Anolis sagrei: one gene and its partner. Each later gene encodes a partner of the first gene's protein in a complex. Links are inferred from orthologs where the notes say so. Each region holds a gene or a part of one and is shown in the gene's direction. Other genes may lie near its edges.

The links.
Region 2: the proteins of LIN9 (region 1) and LIN37 are in contact, whole or in part, in a crystal structure (PDB 7N40), measured with the Homo sapiens proteins. The link is inferred for Anolis sagrei from reciprocal best matches to the Homo sapiens genes LIN9 and LIN37. Residues at the interface, in NP_001353174.1 of Homo sapiens: Lys99, Ala101, Ser102, Gln103, Lys104, Ile105, Gly106, Arg108, Leu109, Arg110, Leu112, Leu113, Lys114, His119, Trp121, Cys122, Ile123, Glu125, Trp126, Phe127, Thr227, Leu237, Phe238, Leu272, Ser273, Asn274; in NP_061977.1 of Homo sapiens: Tyr95, Ile97, Leu99, Phe100, Asp101, Arg102, Val104, Leu106, Ala107, Phe109, Ser110, Glu111, Asn112, Thr113, Pro114, Leu115, Tyr116, Ile118, Cys119, Arg120, Trp122, Met123, Asn125.

Annotation. Positions count from the first base shown.
Region 1 is NC_090021.1:39,811,587-39,822,397, reverse strand, and holds the start of LIN9 (protein lin-9 homolog), read left to right. Parts: upstream 1-6,581; 5' UTR 6,582-6,614; coding exon 6,615-6,693; intron 6,694-10,811. Other genes in the region: PARP1 (poly [ADP-ribose] polymerase 1), read left to right, coding at 1,391-1,472. UniProt on the Homo sapiens protein: Acts as a tumor suppressor. Inhibits DNA synthesis. Its ability to inhibit oncogenic transformation is mediated through its association with RB1. Plays a role in the expression of genes required for the G1/S transition.
Region 2 is NC_090034.1:88,074,552-88,086,013, reverse strand, and holds the start of LIN37 (protein lin-37 homolog), read left to right. Parts: upstream 1-6,793; 5' UTR 6,794-7,004; intron 7,005-11,462.

The DNA of each region.
Region 1 (10,811 bases):
TTTAGGAGAACCTGCTACCATCAAACATGGCTTAATACTTGGGTATTATAATCTTCAGCGTGCTCTGTTTAGCTCAGAATTTACTCTTTGTTAAGAATACAGCAGAAGCTGCCTTACATGGTGAGAAAATAGATCCATCTAACAAGTCTTCTTTAGACTGACTGGCAGTTATATCTGTTTTGTATCATGTTGTCATGGCTTAATCGTATTAAATATAAACTATAAATCGATTTATAGTTTGGTGATAGATTTACAATTCTCCTCAAAAGAGCTTTGTTTATCCTCCTGAATTATAGTTCCTGATGTAACCTGAATCTTTGGATTGACAAATAATAGGGTCATTTTTCCATAAGAATATTTGACGTAGCTCACCAAACTGCACACTTTTATTGATTAATTAAAAGTATGAAACTGATAATGCACAGATACACTATTAGGATTAGTGAGCACAAAGCCTTAGAGCTGAGTTCAGTTGTGACAGTTTTCAATGAACAGTTTTAATCTAGGATATTTGAAAGTATTGATTGGGTCCAGTGAGCCCAGTATTGACAGCTAACAGTACCTCTCGTTTCAAACTTGGATTTTTCTTTTCTCATTACTCCATAGTCTTCCATGGAAGTACTAACCACATTTGACTATGCCTAGTTTCAAAAATCAGATGAGTTGCATTAAGAATAATATCCATAAAATGTTTGAATCATTGGAATGTTTTGTCTTAAACATATGGTAGTCTGGCATCTACTGACAAACATTATAATTCTTTTTTACTCGCTCCTCTGCTATGAATGTAATCGGAAGAGCTCCTGGTATGGCTGCCATCCCTTGGAGAATGTTCAATTTAATATCACCTTGAAATAGAATAAAGTTATAGGGTGGTTCCATCTCTCACACAATGTTAAAAATGTAAAATTAGCTGACTATCATAGCCTTTGAGAGCGACTAAGCTGTTACAATTTGTAGTGAGATATTTAAATTTATTTGTGCGTTTAAAAATAATGCTGGATTTTAAATTGTATACCATTTTATACAGCACAGAGGTGGTTAATAGTACAAATTAAATACCGTATATACTCGAGTATAAGCTGAATTTTTCAGCCCTTTTTTAGGCTGAAAAAGCTCCCCTTGGCTTATACTCAAATCAAAGTTATTACATTTATTACTTTACTCTATTTAATATGATTATGATTATTATGACATTTACTATTATTATTACATTTATTATTTTATTCTCTTTATTATTAGTGGAAGGATATGTAAGAATATTTAGAGGTTCAGGTTGGCTATTTTCCCCCCTATTGCTACTGTAAGAATTGAAAGCAGTCACGTGTGACTAATGTTTTGTTTTGGTGAAATTTGTTTTACAAGGTCTAGCCTTAACTTGTTGTTTCAGATATATCGTCTATGATGTCGCTCAGGTAAATCTGAAGTACTTGCTGAAGCTGGATTTCAAATATAAAACTTCCCTCTGGTGAACAAGAATCAAACTTGTTAAAAGAGTTAATGCTATAAAACCTGCTGAAACATCTAAGTATTCCTACCACTGCTGAGATACAAGAACTAAGTTTCAGGGCTATGCTGACCTTAATCACTTTTGTAAGGATTTTTCTTTACTCTCTTGTGGCTACAACACATGAGATTGAATACTATGAGAATTGTGTGCCCCCCCCCCCCCTTCCTCTCTTTGGTCCATACTAGTTTGGGGACTGCTGTGTCTCTTCTAACCATTAAGCAACAGACCAAAATACTACTAAAAACTCTTGGTTATAGCCTTTGCTAAGTGAGGTAGGGGACGAACTTAGAACTGTTTGCAGATACATTGGATTTTCTTCCAAAATCCACACATCTTCCTTAGTTTCTATTATGAATAAATGTTAAACCTGTTTATTTTGAAGCAAAAAATAAAAGCTAATTTCATACTAATTCTTTATCCTTATGCTACAGTAACTAGTGAAGTCCTATGCCCATGGTATGCTGGGTGAATACATCAGGAGTTATGTCTTTGTGTTCTAATTGTGATCCTATTCTCAAACAGCAGCAAGCTCAGCAGTGTAAGAGCTGCTGTGTATATGAAGGCTGATGTGATAATCTTGGGAGACACTTCAGCATCTCTGCAGCTGATGAGTGTCAGTCACATGTGATACCCAAGGAGTCATGTTTATCATAGTGGTAGCCAAGTGGCCAATCACCTTATCCAAAACCAAGGCTTCTCCCACAACCGAAAAAAACTGTAAACACCTTCCTTTCATCAGTCAGTATTTGCAGAACACTAGGTCAAGATATAGGTTTCCCCTGACATTAAGTCTGGTCATGTCTGACTCTGGGGGGTGGTGCTCATCTCCATTTCTAAGCCGAAGAGTTGGCGTTATCCATAGACACCTTCAAGGTCATATGTCCGGCATGACTGCATGGAGCGCAGTTACCTTCCTGCAGAAGCAGTACCTATTGATCTACTTATATTTGTATGTTTTCAAACTGCTAGGTTGACAGAAGCTGGGCCTAACAGTATGAACTCATCCCGCACCCCGGTGGAGCAGTGGGTTAAACCCCTGTGCCGGCATGACTGAAGACCGACAGGTCGCAGGTTCGAATCCGGGGAGAGGAGGATGAGTTCCCTCTATCAGCTCCAGCTGCTCATGCGGGGACATGAGAGAAGCCTCCCACAAGGATGATAAAAACATCAATTCATCCGGGCGTCCCTGGGCAACGTCCTTGCAGACGGCCAATTCTCTCACACCAGGAGTCACTCCTGACAAGACAAAAAAAATAAAAAATCCCGCACCCCGATTCAAACTGCCAACCTTTTGGTCAGCAAGTTCAGCAGCGCAGCGGTTTAACACACTGTGCCACCAGAGGGCTTGCAGAACACTAATCTGACCATATATCCACAGAAGCTGTTACAGTGTTTTGGGATCTTTGTAATCCTGCCATGTCCATGGAAAACAAATGCCCAGTGTGTGCAGCTGATGTACACAAAAAAGCCACAGCCTTTGCCTTCCCATTAATTTAATCCCAGTGTCAGTCTAGCACAGAAAAGGGATAGAGAAAGGGACAATAATGTATGAACCGCAAAATGCGAAGTGATAGCCTCTAGTGACTGGCCTGTAGCTCAGTAAGCTGGCACAAGTACTAAATGGCTCTTGTTTCTCCCAGCTTCCTCCAACAACAGACACATAACACCACCATGCAGGAGGCACAGACATCTTTATTAGGATGACCCCATTGTCTACCAGTTACTGTGTCAGGACACCTTACAACCCAGACATGGGCAAATGTCGGACCTCCAGGTGTTCTGTTAGGAATTGTGAGAGTTGAAGTCCAAAACACCTAGAGGTCCACAGTTTGCTCATCTGTTATAACCAGTATGGTTTCCTAGTCATCTGATACATTTGTAGTGCTTGCTGGATTTATTTTCACAATGGCAGTTAACTGAAGAAGGGCCAACTGATGAACAATTATGTACTTTTCTTCTTCGTGTCACCCTGCATTCCCCTCTCCTGGGTTATGTCCAGTTAAATAGGATCACAATGGGGAACACACTCTGGACATAGGCATGTCATTTGCTAAAGGTTGATGTAGCAACGTACATATTAACAATCGTTTATTTGTATGTGAGAAGCATTTCTTCTCACCATGCACAGCTTACTCATTCAGTATTATCAGTAGAAAATCAGTCTAACCCAGGCCTCAGCAAACTTCAGCCCTCCAGGTGGTTTGGACTTCAACTCCCACAATTCCTAGCAGAGGGAATTGAAGTCCAAAACACCTGGAGGGCCGAAGTTTACCCAAGCCTGATTTAACTATTCTGTGTGTTCTACTTGCTGCTATTACTTAAGCTGAAAAAAGAAAACAATACCGGTTATCCCAGAACCACCATCTACGTGGAGCAAAACGCCTTCAGAGCAGAAGCAGTTTAATCTGATAAAACAGGGTGCAGTCTACAGAAGTTAACCCAAACTTCTCTTTTGAGAGCCAGTATGGTGAAGCGGTTTGTCATTGCATTATGGCCCTGGAGACCAAGGATCGGCTCCCAATTCAGCTGTGAAGAACCAATGTGTGTGTTTGGGCAAGTCACACTCAGCCTCAAAAGAAGGTAAAGATGACCCTCTCAATAACTTTCCAAGAAAACACCTTGATAGGTTAGGGCAGGCATGAGCAAACTTTGGCCCTCCAGGTTTTTTGGACTTCAACTCCCACAATTCCTAACAGCCAGTAGGAAATCTTATCCGTGCTTTATGAACAGGGAAAGAATGATATGGCTGTTAAGAATTGTATCATCTACAGGTGTAGATGATACCACTGAGAAGCCTTCTAACCAAGGTGAAAGAAGGAAGTGTAAAAGCTGGTTGCAGTTAAACATAAAAAACCAAGATTATGGCAACCAGACTGATTGATAACTGGCAAATGGGAGAAAATGTGGAGGCAGTGACAGACTTTGTATTTCTTGGCGTAAAGATTACTGCAGACTCAGACTGCAGCCAGGAAATCAGAAAACATTTACTTCTTGGAAGGAGAGCAATGACCAATCTCAATAAAATAGTGAAGAGCAGAGGCAACAAAGATCCACCATAGTTAAAGCAATGGTATTTGCCATAGTAACCTATGGATGTGAGAGCTGGACCATAAGGAAGGCTGAGCGAAGGAAGATAGACGTTTTTGAACTGTGGTGTTGGAAATTCTGAGAGTGCCTTGGACCACAAGAAGATCAAACCAGTCCATACTTCAGGAAATAAAGTCTGAATGCTCATGGAGGGAAGGATATTAGAGGCCAAGATGAAGTACTTTGGCCACATAATGAGAAGACAGGAAAGCTTAGAGAAGATGATAATGCTGGGGGAACTGGAAGGAAAAAGGAAGAGGTGCCAACCAAGGGCAAGATAGATTGATGTTATCCTTGAAGTGACTGACTTGACCTTGAAAGAGCTGGGGGTGGCCATGGCCAACAGGGAGTTCTGGCATTGGCTGGTTCATGAGGTCATGAAGAGTCAGAAGGAACTGAATGAATAAACAACAAGTAGAATTGGCAGAGAAGGCTGAAAGCTTTGTAAAACTACAACTAGGTCTGGGGCCCCTCCCATACAGCTGAATAAAATCCCATATCTGCTTTGGACTGTTTATTTATGACATTTATATGCTGCCCTTCTCACCCCGAAGGGGACTCAGAGCGGCTTACTAGTTATATGTACATACAATATATTATATTATTAGCATAGCACAATATTAGTATTATATATTACTATAATGTACTAGACCACTATACTGGAATAATATTATTAGTAATCTTACATGTAATATGAAATTTACAATTATATTGCAATATTATTATAATATTAACACAGCACAAAATTAGTATTATATATTACTATATTGTATTATACAACTATACTGTAATATTTTCAATATTATATGTGTATATAATATTACTATAGCACAATATTAATATTATATATTACTATATTGTACTACACAACTATACTGTAATATTAGTAATATTACATGTAATATGAAATATAAAATTATTATATTGTGTTATTACTAGCGTTATATTGTATTACATTATAATATCAATATATGTGTATACAATATATTGTATTATTAGCACAGAACATTAGTATTATATTGTACTATACTGCTACACTGTAATGTTATTATTATTAATAATATTACATGTAATATGAAACAAATTATATTGTATTATTAGTTGAATTACTTTGAATTAGTTGAAGTACTTCGGCCACATCATGAGAAGACAGCAAAGCCTAGAGAAGACAATGGTGCTGGGGAAAGTGGAAGGTAAAAGGAAGAGGGGCCGACCAAGGGCAAGATGGATGGATGGATGGCATCCTTGAAGTGACTGGACTGACCTTGAAGGAGCTGGGGGTGGTGACGGCCGACAGGGAGCTCTGGCGTGGGCTGGTCCATGAGGTCACGAAGAGTCGGAGACGACTGAACGAATGAACAACAATTAGTATATTGTATTACATTATAATATCAATATTGTATGTGTATACAATATACATATATATATTAGCACAGCACAATATTAGTATTATATATTACCATATTGTATTATAACACTAAACTGTAATATTAGTAATATTACATGTAATATGAAATAAATTATATTGTATTAGTATTATATTGTATTACATTATAATATTAATATTGTATGTGTATACAATATATTATATTATTAGCACAGCACAATATTAGTATTATATAATACTATATTGTACTATACCAATATACCAGTGTGGACCCAGTTCAAAGCAGATAGTGTTGGATTTTTCAGCCTTGATATTCTGGGTTTTATGGCTGTGTGGAAGGGCCCTGGGAAAAGTGAGGCGCAGGCTGTTGTGAGCCTGGAAAGTGGCTTCCTCCTCGCGCTCGGGCTGCAGCATGAGAGAAGGCAGGCGGTGATGTCCTGGCAGCAGGCTGTGCTGCTGCTGCTGCTCTTGAGGCTCGCGCCTCCGCCCCTGGCCAGAGTTCAGCCGAGTCCAGGAGCCGATCCCGAGTGACGTCAGCGCGCGCGGCCCCGCCCCGTGCGTCCCGCGCGCCTCCCCCTCCTCCCTCCCTCCAGTCAGGCCGCGCCGGAGGACGCCGTCTCCTCCCCCACAATGCACCGCGGCAGGCAGCCTTTGAAAAAGCGGCGCGGCTCCTTCAAGATGGCGGAGTTGGATCAGCTGCCTGACGAGAGTGAGTAGACAGCCACCCGGGTGCCCCGCGCTTGGCCCCGCCGGCGGACTCCCCGGCTCGGCCGCGCTCTCTCTCTTTGCAGAGGCCTTCCCTCCCTCCGCTCGCCCCCTTCCCGGGACGGAGGCCGCGGCGACGCTGGCGATGCCGGCAGGGCTGCTGTGGGTCCTGCTGAGGCGGCTCCGTCTCCTTCCTTGGGCGCCCAGCTTGGGCCCTTCTTCCTCGGAGGGCCGCTCTTAGATAATCCCCGCTTCTCGCTTTCGAGGGGAGCCGCGCCCTGAACCCCGGGCGGAGAGGGCAAAGCAGGGCGGCACTGACATCCAGTCCCTTCGGCCTTGGTCCTGAAGTGCTGGGTGCAGCACCGCCAAGCCAACCCACACCGAGGAGGGATCCCTCTCCGCCTAATTTGGGCGCTTGACGTGTCACTGCCGCCCTTCACCTCAGAGGCAGGGAGCCCTTTGCTTCCCAGAGCCGCGCTTCCCTTCGGAGGAGGGCGAGGGCGACAAAGGGCAGGCCCCGACTTCTGCCCTCTTGTGTGAATCCAGAAATGTTGACACCAGGCGAGCGCACGACCAAGGAGAGCGCCCTGTTTGTTTTCCTGAATGTGTCGAAAGGTGTGAGAAGGGCAGGCCTGCTTCCTGATCGTTGGCTCAAGACCAGAGGTGTGTTGCATTGAGTCAACAGCCCTTAACAGATTAGGGAGCTGGCCCAGAACTGATACAACGAATTCCAACAGGGAGAGATCTGTGGTGCTACATTTAAGTCAGTGGTTCTCAACCTGTGGGTCCCCAGATGTTTTGGACTTCAACTCCCAGATATGTTAACACAGGGGTCCTCAAACTAAGGCCCAGGGGCCGGATGCGGCCCTCCAAGGTCATTTACCCGACCCTCGCTCAGGGTCAACCTAAGTCTGAAACAACTTGAAAGCACATAACAACAACAACAACAATCCTATCTCATCAGCCAAAAGCAGGCCCACACTTCCCATTGAAATACTAATAAGTTTATATTTGTTAAGATTGTTCTTCATTTTAATTATTGTATTGTTTTTAAGTGTTTTTTTGCACTACAAATAAGATATGTGCAGTGTGCAAATGAATTCATTCATGTTTTTTCAAATTATAATCTGGCCCTCCAACAGTTTGAGGGACTGTGACCTGGCCCTCTGTTTAAAAAGTTTGGGGACCCCTGTCTTAACAGCTGGTAAACTGGCTGGGATTTCTGGGAGTTGTAGGCCAAAACACCAGGGGTGACACAGGTTGGGAACCACTGATTTAAGTTATTAGAAGGCTATCCAGCCTACCCTGATTTAGGACTGACTGCATTCCCTCATCTCTCTTCGAAAAACCCTATCCCAGTTATATCCTACCTTGTTCATGCCCAGCATTATTTTTTAAATTTTAAATTATTACTGTTACTGTTATTGTTTATTGTTTATTTTTCGTTTATGTGATTTATATTAATTGTTTTATATTGATTGTTTTTGTTATTACGTTTGTTTACTGATGTACTGTGGGCTTGGCCTCATGTAAGCCGCACCGAGTCCCTTGGGGAGATGGTAGCGGGGTATAAATAAAGTTATTATTATTATTATTATTATTACCCTCCCCATAGCAGCACATGGTGGGGAGCTGCTTGCAGGTGGTGGGTGCTGGATGCATCTACAGTGCAGGATTGATTCAGTTCGACTCGGCTTTAACTGCTTCCCCAAATTCCCATAACACCGACCTATATGTTTAACTATTTAATGGGGTCTGTTCATTGTTATGTCCATGAGGCATTGAATTTTGCCGAAGTTTGTAAACCGCCTTGAGTTCCCTGCGGGGTGAGAAAGGCTGGGTAAAAATGAAGCAAATAAATAAGCAGAATGAGATGCACGGGTATAAAACGGGTGACAACTGACTTGAAAACAGTACATGTGAAAAGAATCCAACTGCTTTGAGTCTCCTTGTGGAGAGAAAAAGTAGGGTATAAATAATAATAATCAAGGAGTACTAGTAGAGCATAAGATGATCATCAGTGATGCAGCAGCAAAGAAAGCGAATGCTGCATCCATCGGCTGTTAGGAATTTTGGGAGTTGAAGTCCAAAACACCCGGGGGCCCAAAGTTTGCCCATGCCTGGTCTAATGTCTAGATCAGAGCTTTCCAAAATATTTCATGCTGGTGACATACTTTTTAGACATGCATCATTTTGTGACACATAATTAAATTTTACTAGCAAACCGGAAGTTAAACCAACCCTTTATAAGAGATACAGACACATACATAAATTGTAATAATAAAATGTATGGGGATACAACATATGTAATTAAAACCTATGTTTTGAAAATATACAATTTATTCCTTATTTCACATAGACTCAGAGATTTCTCCTTACTTCCACATGACACATCTACACAGTGCAGCTGACCTAATATATTGCGACACACAATTTGGAAAGCTGTGGTCTAGATTGAGGGAAGTCATAATTCCTTCCATTCCGTGTTGGTGAGACCTTACCTGTGATATTGTGTCCCGTTCTGGGCACCACAACACAAGGATATTCACATGTCCAGAGAAGGGCACCAAGTTCTGTGAGGGACAGCTTAGGGAAAGGATGGCTGAGAGGTGACATTTTAGCCATGTTTAAATATTTGAAAGGATGTCACATTGAGGAAAGGACAAGCTTGTTTTTTGCTGTTCTGGAGACTACATCATGGAGCAATGGATTCCAATTGCAGGAAAAGAGATCCCACCTAAACGTTAGGAAGGATTTCTTGATGGCTAGATCTGTTTAGCAATGCAAAATACTGTCTTGGAGTGCAGTAGAGTGGGGATTTTAAAGCAGAGGTTGGATGGCTGTCTGTTGGGAATGTTTTGATTGTGTGTTCTTGCATGGCAGGGGTTGGACTGGTTGCCCCTTGGGGTCTCTTCCAGCTTTGATTCTTCCTGTGCTAGAGAGAAGAGATTGGGGCACTTATATTTTGAGCAATGGCTCACATGTGGGCTGATTGTGTAATTAGACACTTTGGTAAAGCAAAAACGAGACTGTTTACATTTATGATGCATTTCCACTTAATCTATAGAATATTTCTTCTCTGTGACCTTTCTCAGAAATTATTGTAGATATGTCAACATATTTTTTGAAAATACATTCATGAAATAAAACATGCAAGACTTCCTGATATGAACAATATACAATCATAACAGGACAGGAAATAGGACAACAGGAAGAAACTTGTACAGGTTGTCACATTCAGTCCTAAATTTGTATAATCCTCTGTATGATATGTATATTAAGTATAAGGCATCAACAATTCAGAGAAAACTGACTTGGAGTTAGTGAAATTACACTATGTCCAAATGCCTCAGAAGTCCATCCAGCTGACCTGTTGCAGGGTTTATCTGCACCCATGAAAAAAATCTGTTTGATCATTTGGCCAGACTGATGCAATCTGATGGGACTTGTAGTCTACAACATCTGAAGAGCATCTGATTGAAAAAGTCTTGAAGCAGCAGAGAGCTTGGTCTCTTAAATAGTAGATTAAGTGAAGTGTACAACTGCTGAAGTGTATATTTAAGTGAAGATTAACTGCCCATAGAAAACTTTCTATCTGGGATGAGAATTCTTGTCAAGGTTACTGTAAGTAGGATTTATGAAGTGTTTTCTTGTGTTACACATTTATTTATTTATTATTTAGTATATTTACATACCGTCTTTCTCAGTCCTGGGGGGACTCAAGGCGGTCTACAACATATTAATGGCAAGAATTCAATGCCAACATAATAATAAAATAAAATCACAAGAAATAAACACTGACATATAACTATAATTTAAAACCTTAAAACCATTAAACATAGGCATATACAACATGTAATCACTAAAACATCCTAATATAAATATTGAAATCACATGATCCAAAAAATCATCCATTGTGGCCATTCCCATTGTCATAGCACGTATTTCCTGATTATTCTTTGCATTGCATTACTGGCCAAAATCTGATCCCATAACCACGTCTTTGTTTTCTTTCTGAAGGCCAGTCTATCAATCCATGCTCAGTTTTAATACTTCATCCCCTGGCTATGAAGGTTTTTCAGAGTTGTTTCTGAGCAATGTTATGATCCCAATGAACCCTTT
Region 2 (11,462 bases), on another chromosome or scaffold:
TGGTACAAGAAATTATTAATAGTGTAGACAGTATTAACGCTGTCTCTTCAACAACAACAGAAGTAAATCTCTCTCTCTTTCCCAATTGAAGTTTCTCTCAGTGCACTGTACCTACAATGGCAGTCTAAGAGGGTAAATCCATCCTTTCAGGGTTTGAGTATACAATACTTAACAGCAAAATACTGAAGTAATTCCACCCTCCCATATTTTTTCAATTGAGTTTACTCTCAACGAAATACATATTGGATAGCAGATGAAAGTACACTTAGGCTGTTGGAGTTTTTTATATTATAAGCTTTAACCTAGATAAAGATAAGCTGGTGAACTGTGGGCCACACAGTACTACTGTTTGGTGGATTAGTAATTGCTTCACCGACTGGACCTGATGGTTGCTCCATCCTGGAAAGAAGTGACTAGTTAGAATGCCTCAGGGTTCTGTCCTAAGTTTGGAGTTGCTTAACATCTTTATAAATCACTAGCGTATAACCGGCATCGACTGCGTATACATTTTCTTTGTGGTTCTTTCTTTCCTTCCTCTGTTTCCCTCATACATCTTCTCCCTCTTGCTTTTCTTCCTTTCCTTCCTTCTTTCCTTGCTTTCTCTCATACACATTTCCCCTCATCTATCTTTCCTTTCTCCTCCTTCTTTCTTCTCTCTCTTCCTTTGTCCCTTCTTTCTTCCCTTTCTTCCCCTCATACCATTTCCTTTCCCCCCCCCCTTTTTATTTCTTTTTTCCTCTTTGTCCCCTTTTCTTCCCTTTCTTTAATAATAATAATAATAATAATACATCTTTATTTATACCCCACCACCATCTCCCATAGTGATTCGGGGAAGCTTACATAATAGCACAAAAAGGTGTCATACATTACATAAAATAAAATACATCAACATGTGAAATCAATAACACATTACATAAATCAGATGTATAAATTAAGTAAAAAAAACCCATCTATTAAATAAATTCAATAAAATATGGCCATAACTGTTGATTAAAAGATACATAAATCAATGTAGCAGCCCAGCTGAAGGCCCATACAGTGTGGATATAAAGTGCTAAGTAATTAGCAGTCAGTTCTGGCAACTGTCTAAACATTATCAAAAGCCTGCTGAAAAGAAAGAAGTTTTTAGCTCTTTCCAAAAGTGCTGTAATGTGTCTAAGTTCCCTGGGGAGGGTGTTCCAGAGCCAGGGGACTACCACGGAGAAGGTCCTCTCTCTCGCCCCCACCAACCACACTTGAGATGGAGGTAGGACCGAGAGGAGGGCCTCCCCGGCAGATTTTAGAGCCTGTGCCGCTTCATAGGGGGAGATGCGGTCATGAAGATAGCCTGGACCTGAACAGTGTAGGGCTTTATAGGTAATAATCTGCACTGTGAATTGGGACTGGAAACTTACAGGCAGCTAGTGGAGCTGCTTCAGTAGGGGTATGGCATGCTCCCTATAGCTAGCTCCAGTTAGTAACCTGGCTACCGATCTTTGCACCAACTGCAATTTCCAAGCTGTCTTCAAAGACAGCCCCACGTAGAGTGCATTACAGTAATCCATTCTAGAAGTAACTAAGGCATGGACAGCAATGGCCAAGTCAGGCTTCTCGAAGTACAGTCGCTGCTGGTGCACAAGTTTTAACTGTGCAAAGGCCCTCCAGGCCATCGCCAACACCAGGAGGAGCCCCTGACTGTGGAACCTGTGTCCTCAGGGGGAATGTAACCCCGTTTCTAATATTTGTAATTTCTTTATGTTTGTGGGTAAACAGTATTTCTTGTTGTTTTTTGTCAGTGTTGATTTACATTGTCTGGTTTGCCTACTCTGGAACATGCAACATATAATTGTTCTTCTTTAGGGATCCCTTTCAAACCAATGAAACTATATCTGTCATATATATGTGTGTGTTTGAATAATATATATCTGTATCTATGGCTGGATAGCTCTTTGTCAGGAGGACTTTGATTATTTTTTCTTACCATGGTGAAGGGAGTTGGACTGGATGGCCTTAAGGCAGCATTTCTCAACCTGAGGTTCAGGACCACTGGGGGGGGGGGTCGTGAGGGGGTGTCAGAAGGGTCACCAAAGTCCACCAGAAAGCACAGTATTTTCTGTTGGTCATGGGGGTTCTATGTGGGAAGTTTGGCCCAATTCTATCGTTAGTGGGGTTCAGAATGCTTTTTGATTGTAGGTGAACTGTAAATCCCAGTAACTACAACTCCCAAATGTCAAGGTCTATTTCCCCCAAACTCCAAATCTGGCGGCAATTCGTCCAGCGGATTTTGAGTTATGATGTCACTCAAAACAAACAAAGCATTTATATACATACTTACTTAGGTGATCCCTCATTGTCCGAGTAGGATAGTCTTCCAAGATCAGTGTAGTGGTGGTGGGTCCGCAGGTGACTGTGGAGCCCTATTCTTGATATGCATCTTCTCCCGCAGTGAGGGCATTGGTTTCCAGGTGGAAGGCGGTCTTGGTCAGTGTTGGTTTGATGTGTCTTCCTCTTGGCACATTTCTCCCTTTTTTCCCTCCATTCGTGCCTCTTCAAATTCTACAGCACTGCTGGTCACAGCTGACCTCCAGCTGGGGCTCTCAAGGGCCAGGGCTTCCCAGTTCTTAATGTCTATGCCAGAGTTTTAAAAGTTGGCTTTGAGCCCATCTTTAAATTTCTTTTCCTGCCCACCAACATGACAGATATAGTATCATAGATTTGAAAGAAACCCCTAAAGAAGGACAATTATACAGGGTGAGGCAGCAGAACTTCCTTTTTTTAAATGGGCGCCATTCAGTCAGTTGAAGACGTAGCAGAGCGCTAGTGGTCTCGTTCGAGGGGTGGGAGTATAAAGTTTTGTCCATGCACAGTTCCGTCGCCATTATGCATTGGAACAGTGAGGAGCGTGCTTTTGCCATTGAGGCCTACTTTTCAAGCAGATTTGGAGTGGCCGGCCTGCTCTCCAGATTTAGCCCCTTGTGATTTTTTTCTATGGGTTTTTTTGAAATCCCGTGTTTATGTGAACCGTCTAAGGACCTTACAAGATTTGAAGACCAACATCCAGGAAGAAATTGCCAACATAACGCCTGTTATGCTGGCAAGTCATAACAAACGCCAGAAATCGGTTTACTCAGTGTATGGAGAATGGGGGACGACACCTACCTAATTTGATCTTCAAAACTATGTAAAATAAATCTTTAGGTATGCGCCTACATTACAAAAAAAATTAAAAATTTCTGATTCATACAATAATGGGTTTTATTAAGTTTTGAAAAAAGGAAGTTATGCTGCCTCACCCTGTATATTGTATATTCCAGAGCAGCCAAACCAGACAATCTCTACATCAACATTGATAAAGAAACAATAAGAAATACCGTTTACCCACAAGCATCAAGAAACTACATATATTAGAAACCAACACTTTCTCGTTACTTTATTTTCCAGATCACCAGACTGGGCCACAGTAACGCATGGCAGGGGACGGCTAATATATATATAATCAGCAGAGTTTAAAAAGTATTCCTTTTAGTTTTCCAAAAACGTCTACTCTCCCTTAAAATATATTTGCCAGGTTGTGCTATTAAGCTTTCATGATGCTTAAGGCAGGTTAGTAAGGTTGGCTATTAAGGTTGGTAGTTTAAAGTTGTTGTTTTTTTTTTTTTTTGGAACCACCTATTACAAATCATCCTCTGGAAACGGTACACGTGGTCCCTGAAAGGCGTACATTTGGAACAAATTAATTGCTACAAATATCTAGACATTATGTTCTCTTCATCTGGTGCTTGTGCTAACCATATTACTCATAGTATACAAAGAGCAACAAAAGCAGCAGGTTCCATTTATAAGCTGTACCATCATAGATACCCAGTCACAATCAGACCTGCCCTGGAAGTCTTTAAAACAAAAATAATGCCAACACTTATATTTGGGGCTGAAATTTGGGGGCAAATCAATTTGGCCAAGATCGAAGCCTTCCAAGTTAAGCAGCTTCACACCTTCCTGGGCCTTTCCAGAACAACGCTGATGGCGGCAGTAAGGGCTGAGCTAGGAATACTCCCAGTAAAAGCTCAAATCTTAATGAGACAGTTTAATTACTGGTCAAAATAAACTCTATGGATCCCAGTAGACTTCCTTGTCTATGTCTAGAAGATCAAGTCCAGCATGACCAGAAGTCATCATAGATGGCGGCTCTGAATAATGAGTTGGCTGGATTCGGTCTGCCTTTGCAATTTCTGGGTGTTTTGGGTCCCGGAGCAGGGCAAGTGCTCAAGCGGCGCATTCGGGACGTCTATGCACAGCTGGACCTAGAGAGCATAGGTAGGTCTTCAGCCACAAGGTGTTTAGCTTCCCACAAAAGGAATATTCATTTAGAGCACTACCTAACTATTCCACTTCCACTACCCTTAAGAAGAATATATACTAGGGCTAGGTTTGAACAACTTGGTATTATGGTGCAAACCGGGCACTACTGTACATCCCAAGAAGAGAGAGATTCTGTGTATGGGGAGAACAAACAGTGGAAGACATTGAACATTTCTTAATTGACTGTCCAGCATATACTGAACTGTGAGACAGATATTTACATCCAGTATTATCCAACTGCAGGTCCCCCAACAGAAATGATATTCTGACATCCCTCTTGCGAGGGCAGGAAAGATCCAGCATAATCAGAGTAAGCCTTTTTATTCTGAAAGCTATTAAGAAAAGAGCAGATTTCCTGAAAGAAGAACCAGGAAAATAAGATTCTGACTATAAATGGAAGGTCAGCTGCTGTCCTCACCTTTTTGCCTTGTTTTTTACTCATGTTCCATTTTGAAATGGTCATATGACTGATCAAATAAATAAATAAATATATTATTATTATTATTATAAATCATCCTCTGGTTTAAAAAAATCCATGTTCTGTAAGTGGAAGACAACTCCTGTAATTCCTGGCTTTGAGTATGCTTGCTGTAGTTTTATTAGATGCAACCTAAACAGAGAGTCCAAATTCCCAAACTCTAGTCCTCCAGGTAATTTGGACTCAACTACCAGTGGCTCTGGCTTGGATTCTTGTTATTTTATGATGTTTTATACTTACTATCGATGTATTTGGATTGTTGTTTACATTATTTTAATATGTTGTCAGCTGCTTTGGCTTCCGTGAGGGAGAAAGATGAGATATAAATATTTATTATTATTATTTATTCTGGGAGCTGAAGTAAAAAAATAATAATTGGAAGACACAACGAGGACATGAAGTTGTTTACTTCCAAGAACAGAATTAAACTAGCGGTCCCCTGCCACGCGTTGCTGTGGCCCAGTCTGGTGATCTGGAAAATAAAGTAATGAGAAAGTGTTGGTTTCTAATGTATGCAATGCCTTTTTGCTTGTGAGTAAACAGTATTTCTTGCTGTTTCTTTGCCAGTGATGATGTAGAGATTGTCTGGTTTGCTTCCTCTGGAACATGCAACATATCATTGTCCTTCTTTAGGGGTCCCTTTCAAATCTTTGATACTGTATCTGTCATATACGTATATGTATGTGTGTGAATGGCTGGATTGCCCTTTGTCAGGAGGGCTTTATGTTTTCTTGCCCTGGTGAAGGGAGTTGGACTGGGTGGCCTTAAGGCAGCATTTCTCAACCTGAGAAGTCAAGACCCGGGGGGGGGGGTCACCAGGGGGGTGTCAGAAGGGTCACCAAAGACCACCAGAAAACATAGTATTTTCTGTTGGTCATGGGGGTTCTGTGTGGGATGTTTGGCCCAATTCTATCGTTGGTGGGGTTCAGAATGCTCCTTTATTGTAGGTGAACTATAAATCCCACTTACTACAACTCCCAAATGCCAAGGTCTATTTTCCCCAAACTCCATCTGTGTTCACATTTGGGCATATTGAGCATTCCTGTCAAATTTGGTCCAGATCCATCCTTGTTTGAGTCCACAGTGTTCTCTGGATATAGGTGAACTACAATTCCAAAACTTAAGGTCAATGCTCACCAAACTCTTCTAGTGTTTTCTGTTGGTCATGGGAGAGCTGTGTGCCAAGTTTGGTTCAATTCCATTGTTGGTGGAGTTCCGAATGCTCTTTGATTATAGGTGAACTATAAAACCCAGAAACTACAACTCCCAAATGACAAAATCATAATTTTTTGAGTGATGGTCACTCCTTGTGTTGTGAGACTCTTTGTTGCCAAATTTGGTGTGATTTTGTTCATTGGTTCTTTTGTTTTTAAGGTACGCATTATGCACAGACCATTTTTATATAGAGAGATACTATTCACACATCTATGGGATCTACTGAATTCTATATCTTTCTCCCATGTATAAATAAAATGGTTTGCTTTTAGAGAGAGAGAGAGAGAGATTGGAACAGAAGACAATGACATGCTTACCAAATTTGACAGTATTTCAGACAAGAACATCGATTCCTCTTCCTGGAAGAGCTGCTTGACAGTCACAGACACTGCCTCAAAGAATGGAATCCTCTTCAAGGGGCTCCGGGAAAGCTCCACACAACCCACTTCCCAACGAGGCCTACCTCTACCCTTCAAGCCTTTCCCGCTCTCCTCAAAACAAACTTACCGCCCGATGGTCACTTAGCAACCGAAACAGGAAGCCACCCCAAAGCATGCCGGGTAAACCATCCCCCTAGCGTCAACTCCGGTAGTGTACTACCTTTCCCAAGACGCTTTGCGACCAACACAACCTGAAATTCATCCTGAGGTAGAGGCACGTGAGCAAGCCAAATCCCAGGCGCATGCGCAAACCAAATCCAGTTGGAAACACAGCGACTGAAGCCCTCCACAGGCCGCAACTTCCGGGCAACCTCCACTTCCGGCTCTTCCAACATGGCTGCGCTGCCACTTCCGCTCCTTTGCTTAGGCCTACAGTTCCCGGCATGCAGCGCTCCAGAGGCGGTTTTTCTGCTTCGTGCAAACGTCCGAAGGGAGAAAAAGGAAGTGTCGAGAGTAGGGAAGGCAGTCACTCGAGACCCGTTGCAGGCAGCGCCTCGGCAGCCTTTCCCTGAGAGCCCAAAGGGCCTCGAAACGTAAGTAGAGGCAGGGTGTACCTGCAGTGTAGACTTAACCCGGGTTGACACCGCTTTAATTGCCATGGCTCAATGCTAGAGGATCCTGGGAGTTGCATTTTTACACATTCTTTAGTCTTTTCTACCCAAAGTGCTGATGTCTCACCGAACGACAATGAATCTTGTATTTTTTTACATTTGTAGCAGGATATTTTGAGCTGTATAAGATTTGAATAGGGAACAATAATAGTTGCACTCACTGACTCATTCCTGTGGGAGAAGATATTTAGTCAGAAGATAACTGAGTAGAATGTTTCCTTTATATGGCTTAGTTAAAAAGTGAAGAGCTGATGTAATGTATATATATATACAGGCTGTTCATGTCAGCTGTCACGGACTGGATGAGGGACAACAGATTGAAACTGAATCCAGACAAGACAGAGGTACTCCTGGTCAGTCGAAAGGCCGAACAGGGTACGGGGTTACAGCCTGTGCTGGACGAGGTCACACTCCCCCTAAAAGCACAGGTACGCAGCCTGGGAGCTCTCCTGGATTCATTGCTGAACCTGGAACCCCAGCTTTCAGCGGTGGTCAGGCGAGTATTCGCACAATTAAAACTTGTGCGCCAGCTGCGTCCGTACCTTGGGAAGGCTGACTTGGCCACGGTAGTACACACTTTGGTTACATCCCGCTTAGATTACTGCAACACTCTCTACGTGGGGTTGCCTCTGAAGACTGCCCGGAAGCTGCAGCAAGTACAACGCGCGGCAGCCAGATTACTAACGGGGGCTGGGTACAGGGAGCACACCACTCCGCTGTTACTCAAACTCCACTGGCTGCCAATTAGCTTCCGAGCACAATTCAAAGTGCTGGTGTTAACCTATAAAGCCCTAAACGACTCCGGCCCTGTTTACCTCTCCGAACGTATTCTCCCCTACGAACCATCAAAACCACTAAGATCGTCTGGAGGGGCCCTGCTCTCGGTCCCACCACCTGCACAAGCACGGCTGGTGGGGACGAGGGACAGGGCCTTTTCGATGGTGGCCCCTCGACTTTGGAACTCCTTACCATTAGAGATCAGAACTGCCCCCTCCCTCATGACGTTCAGGAAACTAACAAAGACCTGGTTGTGGAACGCGGCATTTGACAACTGATTTAATTCTTTGCCCACATGAAAGGAGGATGATGAATGGGATTGTGATGGTGTTGGACGATTTGGCTCTTTTAACTGTGATGATAATGTTTTAATGTGTATGGTGCTGATATTTTAATCGTGTAATGAAGTGGCATTGTGTTGTTATTGTATATTCTTTGTATGTTAACACATGTTGTGAACTGGTCCGAATCCCTCTTTGAAGGTGAGAGGGTCGGTATATAAAACCTTGAAATAAATAATAATAAATAAATATATATAAAAATGGTCTGTGCATAATGAGTTCCACACAGCCCTATATCCCATAATATCTGCTTTGAACTGGGGACCCTTCCACACAGCTGAATAAAATCATACATTATCTGCTTTGACCTGGAATATATGGCAGTGTGGACTCAAATAACCCAGTTCAAAGCAGATAGTATGGGATTTTTTTGCCTTGATATTCTGGGTTCCACCTTGTCTCCTGTGCTATGCTAATAATGTAATGTAATGTGCCGGCAGGACTGAAAACCAACAGATCACAGCTTCGAATCCAGGGAGAGGCGGGTGAGCTCCCTCTATCAGCTCCAGCTCCTCATGCGGGGACATGAGAGAAGGATGATAAAAACATCAAATCATCTTGGCGTGCCCTGGGCAACGTCCTTGCAGATGGCCAATTCTCTTACACCAGAAGCGACTTGCAGTTTCTCAAGTCGCTCCTGACACGGCAAATGTAATGTAATATATTGTGTATATATATAATATTTATAATATTGGAATTTAATGCAATATAATACTACTACTAATAATAATAATATATTATAATTATATATTTATATTACATGTAGTATTGCTAATAATATTACAATATAATGGTATAGTACAATATAGTAATATTTAAGACTGATATTGTACTAGGCTCATAACATATTGTATGTATATATATATCTTGTAAGCCACTCTGACTCCCCTTCAGGGTGAGTAGGGTGGCATATAAATGTTGTAAATAATACATAAATAAATATACATGAAAGGTTTTCATGAGAACTTCTCTGCCTGGCTGTCTACAATATGTACTAGCTGACCAATTAAAGATACAGGAACGCAGACATACTATAGAAAATTGTGGCTTTCATGGCCAGAATCCCAGAGTTGCTGTGAGTTTTCCAAACTGTCTGGCCATGTTCAAGAAGCATTTTCTCCTGACGTTTCACCCACATCTATGGCAGGCAGCCTCGGAGGTTGTGAGGTCTGTTGGAGACTAGGAAAATAATAATATTTTTTATTTATACCCCACCACCATCTCCCCAATGGGCCCTCGGGGCAGCTTACATGAGGCCAAGCCCAGAAATGCATTACAGCAAAATAAAACCAAAACACAAAATAAACATCACAATAAAATGAAACATAAGAATTCAGTAAAATAATGCAAAATACAGTAATAGATAAATCACAATCACAGTGAGTGGGCCACATGTACAAGGTAACAATTTTACACATTCTTTAGTCTTTTCTACCCAAAATGCTGGTGTTTCACCGAACGACAATAAATCTTGTAATTTTTGACATATATATGAAAAGCTTTCATGAGAACCGTTCTTCCAGGTTGTCTACAATATGTACTAGCTGACCAGTTATTGATACAGGAACGCAGACATACTATAGAAAAGGGAATAATTGTGGCTTTCATGGCCAGAATCACCGAGTTGCTGTGAGTTTTCCAAACTGTCTGGCCATGTTCAAGAAGCATTCTCTCCTGACATTTCACCCACATCTATGGCAGGCATCCTCAGAGGTGTGAGGTCTGTTGGAAACTAGGAAAATGTGGTTTAAATATCTTTGGAAAGACCAGGGTGGGAGAAAGAACTCTTATCTGTTGGAGGCAGGCGTGAATGTTTCAGTTGGCCACTTTGATTAGCATTTAATGACCTTGCAGCCTCAAAGACTGGCTGGTTGCCGCCTGGGAGAATCCTTGGTTAGAAAGTGTTACCTGGCCCTGATTGTTTCTTGTCTTGAATTCTCTTTTTTCTGAGTGTTGCTCTTTATTTACTGTCCTGATTCTAGAATTTTTTAAATAGTAGCCAGATTTTGTTCATTTTCATGGTTTCCTCCTTTCTGTTGAAATTGCCCACGTGCTTGTGGATTTCAATGGATTCTCTGTGTAGTCTTACATGCTGGTTGTTAGAGTGGTCCAGCATTTCTGTGTTCTCAAATAATATGCTATGTCATCAGGTGATTTGCTATGGTTGACTTTTCAGATGGAATTAGTCTGCAGTGCCTCTCATGTTCCTTGGTTCATGTTTGAGCAATGCTGCGTTTGGTGGTTCCTATGTAGACTTGTTCACAGCTGCATGGTATATGGTAGACTCCTGCAGAGGTGAGAGGATCCCTTTTGTCCTTCACTGAATGTAGCGTTTGTTAAATTTTCTTTCTGGTTCTGTAAATAGTTTGTAGGTTGTGTTTCTTCATCAGCTTCCCTATGCAGTCAGTGGTTCCCATGATGTAAGAACTTTTCCTCTTGGTGGATCTTTGTTTTTGCTCTCATGGCTTGTTCTTGGTCTTGCAGTTCTTCTAATGTATGTGATGGAGTACCCATTGGCCTTAGAGAATCTGTGAACCCCACCTCCTCCAAAGTGAACTGAGCCACCTAAACTGGGTTCTACAGGCCAATGGAGGCTCTTCCACAGACATCAGAAGAGCTGCAAGACAAAGAACAAGCAATGAGAGTAAAGACAAAGATCCACCCAGAGGAAACGTGTCTGTGGTAGAGTATCTATTCACCTGTAGAGCCCAGTTTAGATGGTTCAGTTCACCTTGGAACCTTGGAGGAGCTGGAGCTCACAGACACATTTTGCACGGTCTGCCAGGGCTTTGATTGAGCTTTTTTGATTTGGGTGATGGTTGGAATTTTTATGTAGGTATCCTATCTGTTTATGTAGGTTTTCTGTAAGCTGTGTGGCCCAGTTGTTGATTGGGTTTGCAGATGACTATGGCATCTAGAAATGGCGGTTTTCCTTTATTTTCTTTGGAGCCATGGAGAAGAAGAACTCAACAAGATAGTTATTGAAAAACTATAGCAAAATGTGCTGCAGGATGTCCCTCCTGCAAAAACATTTTTTTTTCAGTTTAATGTACTTTTGCCTTGTTTTTATGATAGTACCAATTAGGAAATGACATTTATAACCCAGGAACAAAATTTGTTTACATAGTGCAATTGATGCCAAAGGCAAAGGAAAAAAATAGATTTGGTTAAAAGCGGACTATTAATGCTAGAAGAGTTTAAGATTTAATGACTGGTGAGATTGGTCACTTAAAGTTGACATAATTAAAATCAAATTAAGAGG